Styela clava: one gene and its partner. The protein of the gene in region 1 purifies or fractionates together with the protein of each later gene. This does not show direct contact. Links are inferred from orthologs where the notes say so. Each region holds a gene or a part of one and is shown in the gene's direction. Other genes may lie near its edges.

The links. Proteins that work in one complex are often made in the same cells at the same time.
Region 2: the proteins of ras-related protein Rab-5B-like (region 1) and rabenosyn-5-like purify together in Drosophila melanogaster (affinity purification with western blotting; 3 studies listed by BioGRID, with this or other methods). This does not show direct contact. The link is inferred for Styela clava from reciprocal best matches to the Drosophila melanogaster genes Rab5 and Rbsn-5.

Annotation. Positions count from the first base shown.
Region 1 is NC_135261.1:2,886,125-2,893,056, forward strand, and holds the start of ras-related protein Rab-5B-like, read left to right. Parts: upstream 1-3,833; 5' UTR 3,834-3,880; coding exon 3,881-4,046; intron 4,047-4,934; coding exon 4,935-5,086; intron 5,087-6,932.
Region 2 is NC_135258.1:11,764,814-11,771,749, reverse strand, and holds the start of rabenosyn-5-like, read left to right. Parts: upstream 1-3,920; 5' UTR 3,921-3,988; coding exon 3,989-4,163; intron 4,164-5,016; coding exon 5,017-5,163; intron 5,164-5,754; coding exon 5,755-5,855; intron 5,856-6,694; coding exon 6,695-6,737; intron 6,738-6,936. Other genes in the region: proprotein convertase subtilisin/kexin type 7-like, read right to left, coding at 459-2,813.

The DNA of each region.
Region 1 (6,932 bases):
GTATTTTATTTGAAAAGTTCGCTATTGAAATATCTATGTATTACTACATAGTTATTACCAGTTTATTGTTTTCAATGAGGATTTAGTATAAATTAGTGTCATCAAAATTTTAAACTACGGTTTTACTACGGTTATACTAGTATTTCATATTATGAATTCTTTATTCTTAGAATAGGTTGGTGTATTTTATTTGTAAACTTGTGTGTTCAGGATATGAGGTTTCTCAGTAGGACTTCATCCAATTTCTGTGAAACTGTAGAAAATGGTACTCCCGTAGTATGTGAACTAAGATGGCTGACACCGGAACATAGTATGTGTACCAGCCTACCAGGTTAGGGTTAGGCCATAAATTCAGGTACAAATACTATGCGAGTCACTTGTCTAGTCCCTGAACTCGTAATATAACTAAAATAAGTAAAATTCGAATAAAATTAAGGCCTAACCATAACCTGGTACACATACTACGTTCCGGTGTCTGCCATCTTGGTTCACATACTACGAGATTACCTAGAAAATAGTGAGACAATAGTGTTATTGTTCATGTAATTGATAGATTATTACCAATCAACTGCAGTTCATCTCGAGCCTTGTACAAACTGAAGGTATAAAAACAGTTCACAAACTATCTATGTATTTCCTAGGTAGGATATTACCAGTTTGTTTTCATTAGAAATTTAGTAGCTATTTATTATACAAAAATTTTTGAGAATAGTGTATTTTAGTTGAAAAATTCCAATCAAATAAAATATCTATGTAATATCGGTTTGTTGTTTACTAGTTTATTGTTTTCAATATTTTATCAGGAATTTAGAATAAATTAGTGTCGTCAAAATTTTGAATTTGTTATATCCATATTTAATATTATGAGACCTAAAATTGGCTGTCTTAAGACCTACAATTGATACTGAATAAAAATAAAACGAGAACATCGGTCAGAGACCGAAGACTTACCGATCGAAAGTTAGGGGATCCCCCAAAACAGCGCTTTTACTCCATAGTGACACTTTGTGTCCCATCACTAATTAATTAATATCTCGCTAATTATACGACATAATTCATCCAAAATCAATAGGCTTCTGGTATGACATATGATGAATGCACATATGCAAAATCTGGAGCAGATTCAATCTGGCTTTTGTGAGATATCGCGTGCATCTAACAGACAAATTCAGACAAATAAAAAAAAATTTTTATCATTGTGGATGTATAATTTTTTTGCCTTCATGATTTTTCTATGCAAATGTTTATTTTTGGGAATGGGATCAAATCAAATTTGGATGGGAACTAATCAACTATTAATTCGATCAATTGGCAAACAAAAAAAAAATAAATGTAATAAAATATGAAAGTTTGCTATACAATGAAAAAAAAAAAAAAAAAAGACAGACAAATACCTATCAACATACTTACCGATTAAAATCGATAAGTAACAAACCTGGTTACTTGGATAAGCCTATTATTGTCTCCGACCTCATTGTCATGTGTAAATGGCAGATATTGGCAAATGGCAGAGATGGGCAATTTCTTGGAATAAAACAATTCCGTATTATTTCTAAAATACGAAGTGACCCAAAAGAAAACAGGACCCAAGTCATTTGATATATATTCTTCATAGAACATAACTTCTGTGCAAACCAGCCTAGATTACTGAAACGAACAAAAGTTAATAATAAATTGTCTTCATTTCAGCTGAAGTTGAGAAATTTATGGATTCTCTTTTTTGGGGTCACCTATACCTTCACCTTTGAATCTATTTAATTTTGAATCTATTCAATTTTCTAACATATCATATACTGATTACTGATATTGTAATATTTACTCAGTATGAGCTTCTTTGTACAAAATAATACATGTGATATCTGATCCGATGTACAGGAATGACTGTCAGCAAACATACATGGTGGTTACGCAATTGTTTGCTTTTTATTAGTAGTGTATTCTCACTCTTGGTAGTGGACTGTGGTACTGGTGAGAGTATTACAGTGTTAGAAGGGTACTCCCGTAGTGTGTGTACCAGGTTATAGTTAGGGCATAGTTTTATTCCGATTTTCCTTATTTTAGTTTTATCACGAGTTCGGCGACTGTCTGTGTTAGCCAAATGAATATGACCCTTGCCCATCCCATAGGTTTGAGTCCCTTTATACAACTTGATGTAAAGTAGGCTAACAAAATTAGTTACCTTCATATTGGTACACATACTTCTGGAATGCCGTTAAAAGAGCAGTTGCATAGATATTGTCTTGACCTTTAACAGGTTACGGTAGTTTTCACTATAGTTAGGCATGTTAACAGTGTCCATTGTAGTCCAAATATTTTACTGAGGGATGGCCAAACCAACTAATCTTCTAACCGAATACCTTAATATTGTATACCTGTATTAATATTTAATTTGTAATACCTTTCATATTAAAATTTGTGCATATGGTATATTGAATATAATTTAAATTGGGGAATTGAACATGCAAATGTATTTGAATATTTAGAATAGTTTCATTTTAAAAAATTATTATTTTGAGCAATTGAAATATCACAGCATGATCTAAAAGCAGTTTACAACAATGATTGTTGTAAACTGCTTGTCTGAGGAAGTCTTGAGTTTGGTCAGACGAAATGTTACAGAAATATATTTGTGTTAGTGTGCAGCAGGACTCTTTAATTGGATAGAATAGTCATGTTTTTTTCTGCTACAGCATCCTTGCAATATACACATACACATACGGTTCAACTAGCATAAAGGCATAGGGGAAGGATAGGAAGCTAGGCTTGCACCAAATTTATGAAAAGGCCTTCATTCAAATTCTGGGAACTGAAAAATACTGGTATATCCTATATTTCATGTTAGGAATTTTTTTTTATGTTTTGATATTAGTAAGTCGTTCAGCTTTGGCCAACTGTGGGTTACCCCTGATAAAATGATTTTTCGTCATGAAATCATGATTTTTAGTACCAATTTGCAGTGAAGTAATGATTTGCAAATTCCAGATAAACATAAAAGAAATGAACTGATTGAAAATGTAACTAAGTCATATTTCTTCTTGCTATGTTCTATATGAGACTACAAAGTGGCCATAACTAGTCTAATTTTGACCTGGCCAGGACTGTCGGTTTCTAGAACACTGATGCTTTGCATATTATAGAAAAGGAATGCAATAATAAAGAATGTGCTGTGGTGATAGATACCCAATTGAGTTCTTTTTTGATTAGCTTGTGGAATTTATGAAGGAGTATTCTTGTCATGTGTTCATCTTATCTGGTGATGGTATGAAACTATTTTTGAGTGGCATCTTGTCAGTGGAATTTTCGCTTTTTTGTTTATGCTGACTGCTATGAAACCCAATGATGTAAGAATGTGTTATTTTAAATCCATAGTTCCCAAACTGCGGGCCAGTTACGGTCCACATAATGATTTGATATGGCCTGGCGAACTTAAGTGAAATAGTTTTTTAACACTTGACGTTTTTTACCTTTTCATGTACTAAATACCGCCAATTGTCCATTTGTTACATTATTATCTCAGCACGTGCTTATTCGTAACAATTCAATTATATTAGTATCTTAATTTTTGTACCTGTATCGACATCAGTCCCTTGCAGGCGCTCCCCTATATCCTTTCGCTTCTAATTTTGAACTGTGGTCAATCAACTTTGGGAGCCATTGTTTCAAATGATGGAATTTCAATACAAGTTAAAAATTGATTGGTACATTCTAAATTACGGTAGTTATATTTAATGTAGAAACTTCTGGATTTTAGGAACATTTTAATTTGAAAAGCTGGTATTTTGAGCATTTGACATCTGACAGTCAAACAGTAATTTCTAATATCACTTTTTAACAGAATTACAGTATTGAGATTACTAAATATAATAAATAAACTAATATAATGGCTGCACGATCCCCACAACAAAGACCGAACGGGCCTGGAGGCCCTGGGAAAATCTGTCAGTTTAAACTTGTACTTCTCGGCGAATCAGCTGTTGGAAAAAGTAGCTTGGTGTTGCGTTTTGTAAAAGGGCAATTCCATGAGTATCAGGAGTCTACAATAGGAGGTGGGTGGAGTCATTTTTTTTTAATTGTGCAGTCTTGGTGTCAAAAGTCGAATAATTTTCAATTACGTTTAATAAAGTTTTCTTAAAGCAAAGCTCAAGTCTCAACTAAGAGTAATGACAGTAATCCCTCAATTATGAGTGCCGCTGCACAATAGCCAGTATTGGTTTTCCAAGTCTCCTTCATCCTGAAATGCCGTTTTTTCATAATTTATTGCACTTTTAGGCGCACAAGAAGTGTGTGTATCAATATGGAAGTAACTAATTTTATTCGCCTACTGTACATCGGCCTATTCGCAGGGGGTATATCCAGTAGTGGTATTCAGCCGGTTCGCACCGGTTCAATAGAACCGTCTCACAGAATTTTATGAGATCAGCGAACCGGTTAGCATTACATGACTTTTTGTAACAGAACCGCCTGAAAATTCGACATTTTTATGATGGAACCGGCTGACAAAAAATTTGAAATCCCACCACTGTGTATATCCACCTGGCTAACACAGAAAGTCCCAGACTTTCAATAGAACTAAAATAGGGAAAATCGGAATAAACTTATGGCCTAACCTTAACCTGGTACACATACTACGAGATTACCAAATTTGTATGTCTTGGCCTACTTTCAGTATAGTGAAAGATAAACTACTGATAACCAATTACTTAATTTTTTCTTACAATTCTTGTTTCCTGTACATGCACCCTCTGATATGTCGGGGCTATTTTATTTGAAAGAACTGTACTGTAGATATCAGTTGACAATATACTGACTGGTTTGAGTGGTTTTCTCAAAAAGAAAGTCTCTGAATGGACGTTCATAAAATAATTTAAATTTTGGATGTAAATTGGTCTGATTAGCAATATTTTACTTGGTAAATCAATATTTTTTTTTTTCAGCCGCATTTCTCACACAGACAGTCTGTCTTCAAGATACGACAGTAAAATTTGAGATATGGGATACTGCTGGTCAGGAGCGATACCACAGTCTTGCGCCCATGTATTACAGAGGCGCTCAAGCAGCAATTGTTGTCTATGACATCACAAACCAGGTATTTTCCATCCATTGTTTGATCAAAATGATGAATTCGTGGTCATAATTATTTTTTGCGGGTCTTAAAAGCATTGAAATTGTGAAAAATTATCGTTTGTCATGATGTCTTGGTCATATTATACTGGTGTTGTGGACGTAAAACCTGGGATGAGCTAAAATGGAGAATTTTTATTCCGATTATATTATTAAATTATCCACGTTTTTCAAGCATATTTGACATGTTCGTTTTTTTTATCCCTTGTTGTAAGTTATAAATCTCTGTTTCGAATCATATTCCCAGTCGTCAGTGAACAAATTGAATAGGATATACTAGAATGGGCGCTCCAGAGTATGTGTACCAATATGGAGGTAACTAATTTTGTTCGCCTACTTTACACTTTACAAGTTGTATGGTACCCTAAATGTACGGTAAATACTCTGTTCTAATTTAGTTTTCCACATAATTATGATTGGTATCTTGTCTAAAGCTTCCTTCAGGAAAATGGTTTACCCAGGGATGGCCAATATCGAATAGTTCACTATTTCGAATACATTCGAAATTATTTTTTTCGAATATGAAATTTCGAATACTTCGGAAATAAAATCCACTAATTGAAGCTTATCTAAATGTATGTAGGAATTTCCATACAATAAGCAATGGAATAACTGCTATCTAAAGTTACAACCTTGCCAAATATCCAGGCATTTCTTATTTGCAGATTATTGCAGTATATATTTTCTATACAGTACCATGAGTCATGTTAACAGAATTAAATTAATACGACAATAGTGGTATCGATGATGGATTGGAATATTTGCGCAAAACAAAATCATCCTAGTAAAACGCCCATACTTTTAAATACCAACCATTATCCAAATTATTTATCAAAAAGCGGGATAAAGTATGAGGTATTTTTCCGACTTGTGACAATTTTTTCGTGAGTACAAAAATACGAATCAAAAATCAATTATATTCGGGAACTTTACCACACATTTTAAGTCCGCAGATCGCCGTTGTATGTTTGAGTAATAATACTTTTATTATTTCATAAATATGAAAATAGGAATCAAAAACTATTTATAATCGGGTAGTTTACCACACATTCTAAGTCCACAGATCGCCGTTGTATTTTGTAAATACGAAAATAGGAATCAAAAATTAATATTAATCGCGAGTTTGCCACACAATTTATGTCCACAGATTGCCGTGATATTGTGCCGAATATAATTAGTTTTTGATTCTTATTTTCGTACTCACGAAAAATTGTCACAAGTCGGAAAAAGAATTTATTCTTTATCCCGCTCTTGGGAACTAATTTGGATAATGGTTGCCATTGGTTTGTATTTAAAAGTATGGACTTTTTACTAGGATGATTTTGTGCTGCGCAAAATATCCAAATCCATGACTGATACCACTACTTAAAATGCCTTACTGTGTTAATTTAATTCTATTATCATAACTCAAATGTTGGTAAATCGGGCAGTTTACCACACATTTTAAGGCCACAGATCGCCGTTGCATTTTAGAATTATAATGGTTTTAATATTTTGTAAATACGAATCCGAAATTAATTATAATTGGGCAGTTTACCACGTATTTCATGTCCACAAATACCCGTTGTATTTGGTATTAATACTTTCATTATTTTATCAATATAAAAATAGGAATCAATATTTAATAATATCGGTCAGTTTACCACACATTTTATGTCCACAGATTGTCGAGTACGTTGAGTTACGTTGAACAGAATTAAATTAATACGGCATGACATTTTAAATGCCGGTACCAGTCATGGATTGGATTATTTTGCGCAATAAAAAATCATCCTGGTAAAATATCGATACTTTCAACTATCGTTATCAGA
Region 2 (6,936 bases), on another chromosome or scaffold:
CCGAACAAGAAAGACTGGTCTTTTTAAATATATAGTGGCTGTTTGGTGTGAACAAGCTTCACATAAAAAAATTAAAAAGATTCAACCATAAGTGCAAAACTATTCATATATAAATATATCTTACGCATGCGAAAAATAATACCAAACGATCATCTTCTAATCTAATTGCAGCATATTGGATATGTCGGCTGTTAATAACAGACTAGACTAATAACAAATTTTCGGCGCAGTATGTTTCTTTTCCATACAAAATACTGACATTTGTTATACTTCGGGACGTTCGGGTTATAAAAACTCTTGCTGCAAACAATATCATCAACTCATGCAACATCTTTGTTAAAAATCAAATTGTAGTAATAAATTGTTAACATGCTTCTGTCCCATTCGCCAGAAAAGAATGATTCAGTGTTAGGAGTAGATGAAGTGTTAATTTCACAATCATTTTTTTTTTAAAAGTACTACGTAACATCTTCAATTGAATTGTCAATTACAATATTTTCATCATTAATTTGTGAATTGACTTCTAATTCAGCAGAAAGAAATGAATCAGTATTAGAAATGGTCATTGCAGCATTCAATTCAGCTTCTTTTTGTGTACCAGGATCGCCGTTATTTATTTGAGTATCTTCTTCGATATCAAGCATTGCTACATCTTCATTTGTACCTATGAAGGTAGAATTAGGAAAAAGTTGCACACTCTCGGTAGATGTACCATATCCATTTTGAGGTGTTTCAATCCGCTCAGCATCAGTTTGATCATTTTCAATATCATTTTCTTTCTCCTCTTTGTCTTCTGCATTACAAAATGCCATTTCAATTGTGTAATATACTCCCCAAAACAATAAAAAGCAAGATATCATTGTTACAAGTTTAATGGTGCGATCAGAAAGTGCGGATGTGACATCGAATTCTAAAGGTGTACCAGGAGGGCAAGGAAGACTGAAATTATCAAGATAACTACCATCCATAACAGATTCAATATATGTTTTTCGTTTTTTCATTTCATCTGCAGTCCAACTTGATCCGTACAAAGTTAATTTCCAGCTTTTTAAGACCCCCAAACTTTCCCCTTGTGGTAATTTCCTACTTGTGTCTATGACTTTCAATGTATATTTCCCAGCTGGATTTTCGCCCCAGCATTTTACTGTTGAAAAACTCCAATCGGTGAGTCCCTTATCTGATGTATCGGACCGTCGAGTTGGAACCTCCGATCTAGTTCCTGATGGACAAAGCAAAATAAACTTCAGGTTCCCTCTGGTATGGTGGGTTACAGTGACAGTGAATAAAATATACTCTAATGTTGATAACATATTATTTTTACAGTTCTCAGTTGTAACTTCAGTGTGCAAAATCAAGGATTCATGTCTATCCATAGAAATAGCTAAATTTTTATCATGGCTCGTATCGGCAGTAAGCGACGTAAACCATGGCACAGATTTCCACACTTTGGCGGCATTTACTAAACGCCACGCATCTAGAAGACCAAAGCCGTGGATATTACTATGTCGAAATCCAGCTTTATTTTGAGTCCATGCGGTTGCATGGTCAACTTCAACAGCAGTCATTACCATAATATGTTGTATATCTCTCCAAGTAAGACAAGGTCTTGCTTCCAACATCAGTGCAACCATTCCAGCTGCTAATGGCGTAGCTGCAGATGTTCCAGTATGACTATGCGTACATTGATCAGCTGAATTACCAGGTGGAAGTGACCAGTCTGTTGTTACAATGTCTCTTATTAATAAACCAGAACCAGAGCTGACAGAACAAGCTAGCATAGAAGCACACTCTTCCGCATATGATGGTTTATTGCCCATTTCATCAATAGCACCGATTGTAATTGTATAAATTGAGCTTGCATATCCATCATAATTACAGTTGTCTCCCTTAAGACCACCATTGCCACTTGCCACGACAAATATTGAACCAAATCCATCCCTTCCTGCGACAACACCATGTTGTAGTGCCATACGACCCAAATCATGAGGACCATCAACAGTTTTGCCATCATCTTCCGGGCCCCATGAACAACTGTAAATATCATTTACATCCATATGTTTGTTAAAAGCAGTTGCCTCTGACGAATCTGTAGTTGTACCATCCAGAACCCTGATTCCGCTAAATTTTGAACCGAATGCAATTCCAACACCACAAACTGAATTTGGAACTGCGGCAATTTCACCCGCACACCTTGTACCGTGTTTATTTTCTTCTTCTTCATCATAAACAGGCGAGGGATCATCGTCGTTAGAATTTAAATCAAAACTTCCTTCTTTACAGTAATTGTCTTTTAAATCTGGATGTCGCCATTCCACGCCATCATCTACTACAGCCACGACAATCCCTTTTCCAGTGATGTTACGAGCCCAGACTCCAGTAACATTACAGTCATATCCAATAAGATTTTTTAAATGCCATTGTTCATTATACAATGGATCATTGAAGTGCAATAAATTTGGCACATTAATATGCGAACGTTTCGTTCGCTTCAAATCAACTTCTTTACTATGCCACTCTATGTGTTTATGGTTATCAAAAAGCTTCAATAAATGGTCATGATTATTCGTATCTGATTCAAAAAGATAAAAGCCTGTCAACTCTCCGATCTGTCCCTTATTAAATACGCCGAGTTCGTCAGCAATGCCATTCGCAAGTTCATCAAAATGCTTCTTGTGTGAATGGTTATCGTCATAATATTTTATCTTTATGTTCCATGTATGTGTACTATAATTACTAGTTCCCAGAATGAAATGGATGAATGTCAAAAATACAATGACTGAAAGTTGCACCAAGTGATTCCATCTTTTAATCATTTTCCAACATGTCTTAATTATTATAAATCTACAGTGACATCTAGAGAATTGATTAGAAAAATATTAAGAATTTTAAAATCCGGATAAGCATATTTATACAATGCATTATGGACAAGTGCAAGATCGCGTAACTTAATAATATTATCATATAACGAGCCTAGCAAAGTACACGCCGTAAGTGCCTAAATACCGCCTTGAATAACTGCTTACATATCGTAAAACAAAAATGTAATGTGAAAATGCAGCCCAAACTTCAATTTTTCAAAAAATAAGTGTCTCACGTGGAACCTTATTGATAACCTATTTGGTGAACTGGCATTTATCAAAAATTTCATTCCGTGCCAGACATACTTTTTAAAAAAAAAACATCAAAATTTCACATCACAATTTTGTTAGGCATTATTTAAGCAGTTTTGGTACTCATTTAACTTCCACTACTTGTTTTTTGGCATTATTTTAAGAGGAGTTACAGAGTTACGAAGTTTACTTTAGACTGAGGCTTCTGTTTCGATTTGGATGCTTTTACTGGTATACAAGAAGACTAAGAATGTGTTTGTCATTTAGATACCTACCTACCAGCCTACGGTATGCTATGAGAACGCATTTGTGTGAAAAGTCAGAAACCTGGAAACTGCATATTATGACAACCGAGAACACAGATTTCGATATTTCTCCACTTTACCTCCATACCAAACATATATATATATAAACATCATATGGCAAAAATTGTATCTCATTTCCGCATAGAAGTTAACGTACCGTACTAGTTCAGCAGTCTGTTGGCACTCTACATACCGTACACAGACATAAAATAAATACTGTGCAATGTTCACCGGCATTCATTCATCTTTTAATTACATTTTGTCAATGGCACACCTCTCGATAACACTCTATATGAATTTCTAAAGCTATTTTCCTGTCAATAGCTCACATTAATTTTTCATTACAATTCCTCAACTCACCTGAACTTTACGGTAATTCTGGAAGAAAATGACTCCCGTACGGTACTCCAGTGCCTCCATCTCTGATGAACTGCCACTACACTGTCACTGCAAATGATATTTGCCTTATGTCTGATCGTGAGAGGGCGCAAAAGAGTTGAAGTATCACCTTCTGGTTTTCGGGGATTTTATCGATTTCTTCTGATTTTGCATTATTTTTGTCTTTATCAGTTTATGGCGGCGTTTTCGCCTTCTGGTAGTGGGATGGATTCGACTGAAGGGGATTCTGTAATGGAGGGTTTTCTATGTCCAATGTGTTTACAGGATCTTCAGTCTTTTCATAATCTACAGTCTCATTTTGAATCAGAACACTCTAATGAAGATAAGGCTGTTATGAGCCAAATCAGAGGTAAATGAAACTAACACCCCAAACTTTAAAGCTATCTATTATCATTTCTTTGATCTGTTAAAGGTGACTTTTCATGCTGTTGTTCATTTTTTATTTATTTCTTTATCTACTGATCTGGTAAACTCGGTATATAATATTTGTATTGTCAACTTAAATGATTACCGTACTGAGAGTGAACGCCATATCGCAGTGAAACATAGCAAGTCGGGATTTAAGAGCCCCTTCATCAGTCTTGCGGAATGACCCACATAATGACATGGAACAATATTATCTGAAAATGTGGCTTTTATATTCAATATCGTAATACATTATTCATTAGTGTTGATGTTGTTTGTGAAATATAGACTCGCTCTTTCCCTCCTTATGCCAATTGCCGATTCCAAATATACCGGTATATGCCTCATTTTTACAAATCAATCGTATGTCATGGCATAGTTTATTTCTGCCACTGCTGAGTCGTTGGTGCTGGGCTGTTGATATCTGACAACCAGTGTGATTAAGGCTTGAGTCATTGACTTGATTTCAGTCACCATTTACCGGGACTCATAATCAACTAACCGCCAGTTGAACTTGACTTGAGAATCGTACGACCAGTCTTAACTCGTGACTTTGGGACTTGTATTAACTCTGCTGAAAAAATCATCCTGAGATGAACAGATATGCCCAATCATGTTCGATTTGAAAATTTTCTGGATATTCACCTTCACATTACATCCTTTTTGAATAGTAATGCTTTTGGTGTTTTGTTCAATGTAGCATATATATATATATATATATATATAAAATCTCTTCAGTATTCACCTTTTTAAATATCTTACTATTCATTTTCATCATAATTTATCGCTATTTTCAGGCCTGTTTTCCAAAGCCAAAGATAAATTATTAGGAAGAGAATATGAAGAGGATGATGATCGAAATCCATTTTCAAATTTTCAATCCTCATCATCAAACAGGAGTTTATCGTTTGTAGATCCAGCTTTTTGGGAACCTCAAGAATTAGGTATTAAATGAATGAAGATAGACATATTTTACTTTTCTCTATTTTCACATTTGAGTCATGCAATATATTACTGCATTCTATGATTAATGTACTTGAGGTTGTACGAATACTTGACAGTAGTGTAAAATTTTGTTTATTCAGTTTCGGAGTTTTCCGTGCCCTATTTTTTTTTAAAGGCTTTTGCGTCGTGGAAAACTTTTTACTCTACTACAAATTCTGAGATGTTTAAAAAACGACTTCTGCTGTGACATCTGGATGAAATAAATTTTGTCTCTGGGCCCCAAACCGTAAATTAAAAAAATTGTTACTCAAAACCCCAGATTCCATCTCAATTTTAACCATGAAAACTTCAATGTACACAATCTGTTTAATTGTTTATTGAGACTGCTTAGTCAGCCTAATGCTTTTCAGGTTTCCATTTGTAATCTGACTTCGATCACCACCATAAAAATTATGGATTTTTGTCTTGGCACGATTAAAAACATGACTTCAGCTTTAACTCCCAATGTTTACTTCCAGATACTGACTCCACAGCCATATTTTTTTTCGCTTATTCATTCGTGTTTTCATCTACTCATCAATGCTTTTCAGGTGTTACTAAAAGTCATATTGATAAATTTAAATCTATGAGGGATGCAAGAATTGACAGAGTCGTCATTGAAACGAATAAAATAGTTATTCGACTGGAAAAGGTTAGTAAAACTAATTCATTTTGTGCAAATTTTTTTTATTAAAATAGTAAAATTGTATTGCAGTCATACACGTCTGATATTTGAAACTCTTATATAAAGTTTATGGGATTTAGGGCTGGAGGTAAAATTAAATTTATTGAGACCAGATTTTGTGACAATTATGGCATACATAGATTTCCAATTGTATTTTTGGAAAATTATATTTTAAATGGAAATTTTTTTATAATTTTAATGTTTAAGGATTAAGTATTTTCTGTTTTATTCTGTATTACATTTGGCCAATTTTTACCTTTTGGCCTTATATCCCACTACCAATTTTTCAATGTTCTTAGTTTATTTTCTGTTTTCTCATCTCCATTTACCATTTGTCATACCTTAGTTGTAGTGGTGAGTGTGATCAAAACATCAATGAAATCATTGGATTACAATTTACAAACATAAGTAACTCAGGAAACAATATATACCGTAGTTTTGTGGCAATTACAGTTCATTTGGCAATCAGTTGTCTTGCTCTCCTAGTGTGGATGTTTATATCTGTATTGTCTTGTATCCTACAATAATGTCTCACTGTAAAGTCCATCATGATATATGCGATGCATTAAATTAAAGTTTCACAGAAAAGCAATTTAGTAATGGAATAGTTGAAAAAACGATGATGCATATGTGGAATTTTATGTTTTTGGCATTAGATTTCAACTTTCTCTAATTTCTATCATCATAATCTAGATATATTTCATGTTTTATGTTACTATTCTCAAAATTGTCATGCGTCATTTTTTTTCATCTCTAATATTATTGCATTATGGTAAATGAGGATATGTCTATCCTTAATTTTGCAGCTTTTGAAACCAGTCAGGTTTAATGGAAAACGTAATCACAAAGGTTATTTGTTATTATAGGACATAGTTTTATGCATGCTACTCTTCATGGTGTTTACAAGGCATGATTTATTAGCACAAATTGGATAAGTGTTCGCTTTAATCGTTTATGTTTTATGTCGAACAACCTGTTTTCTTTGCATGTTTCTGCTGCGCTACTTTTTTTTTAATTTTTCTCAACATTTTTAATGGATTAAAATTTT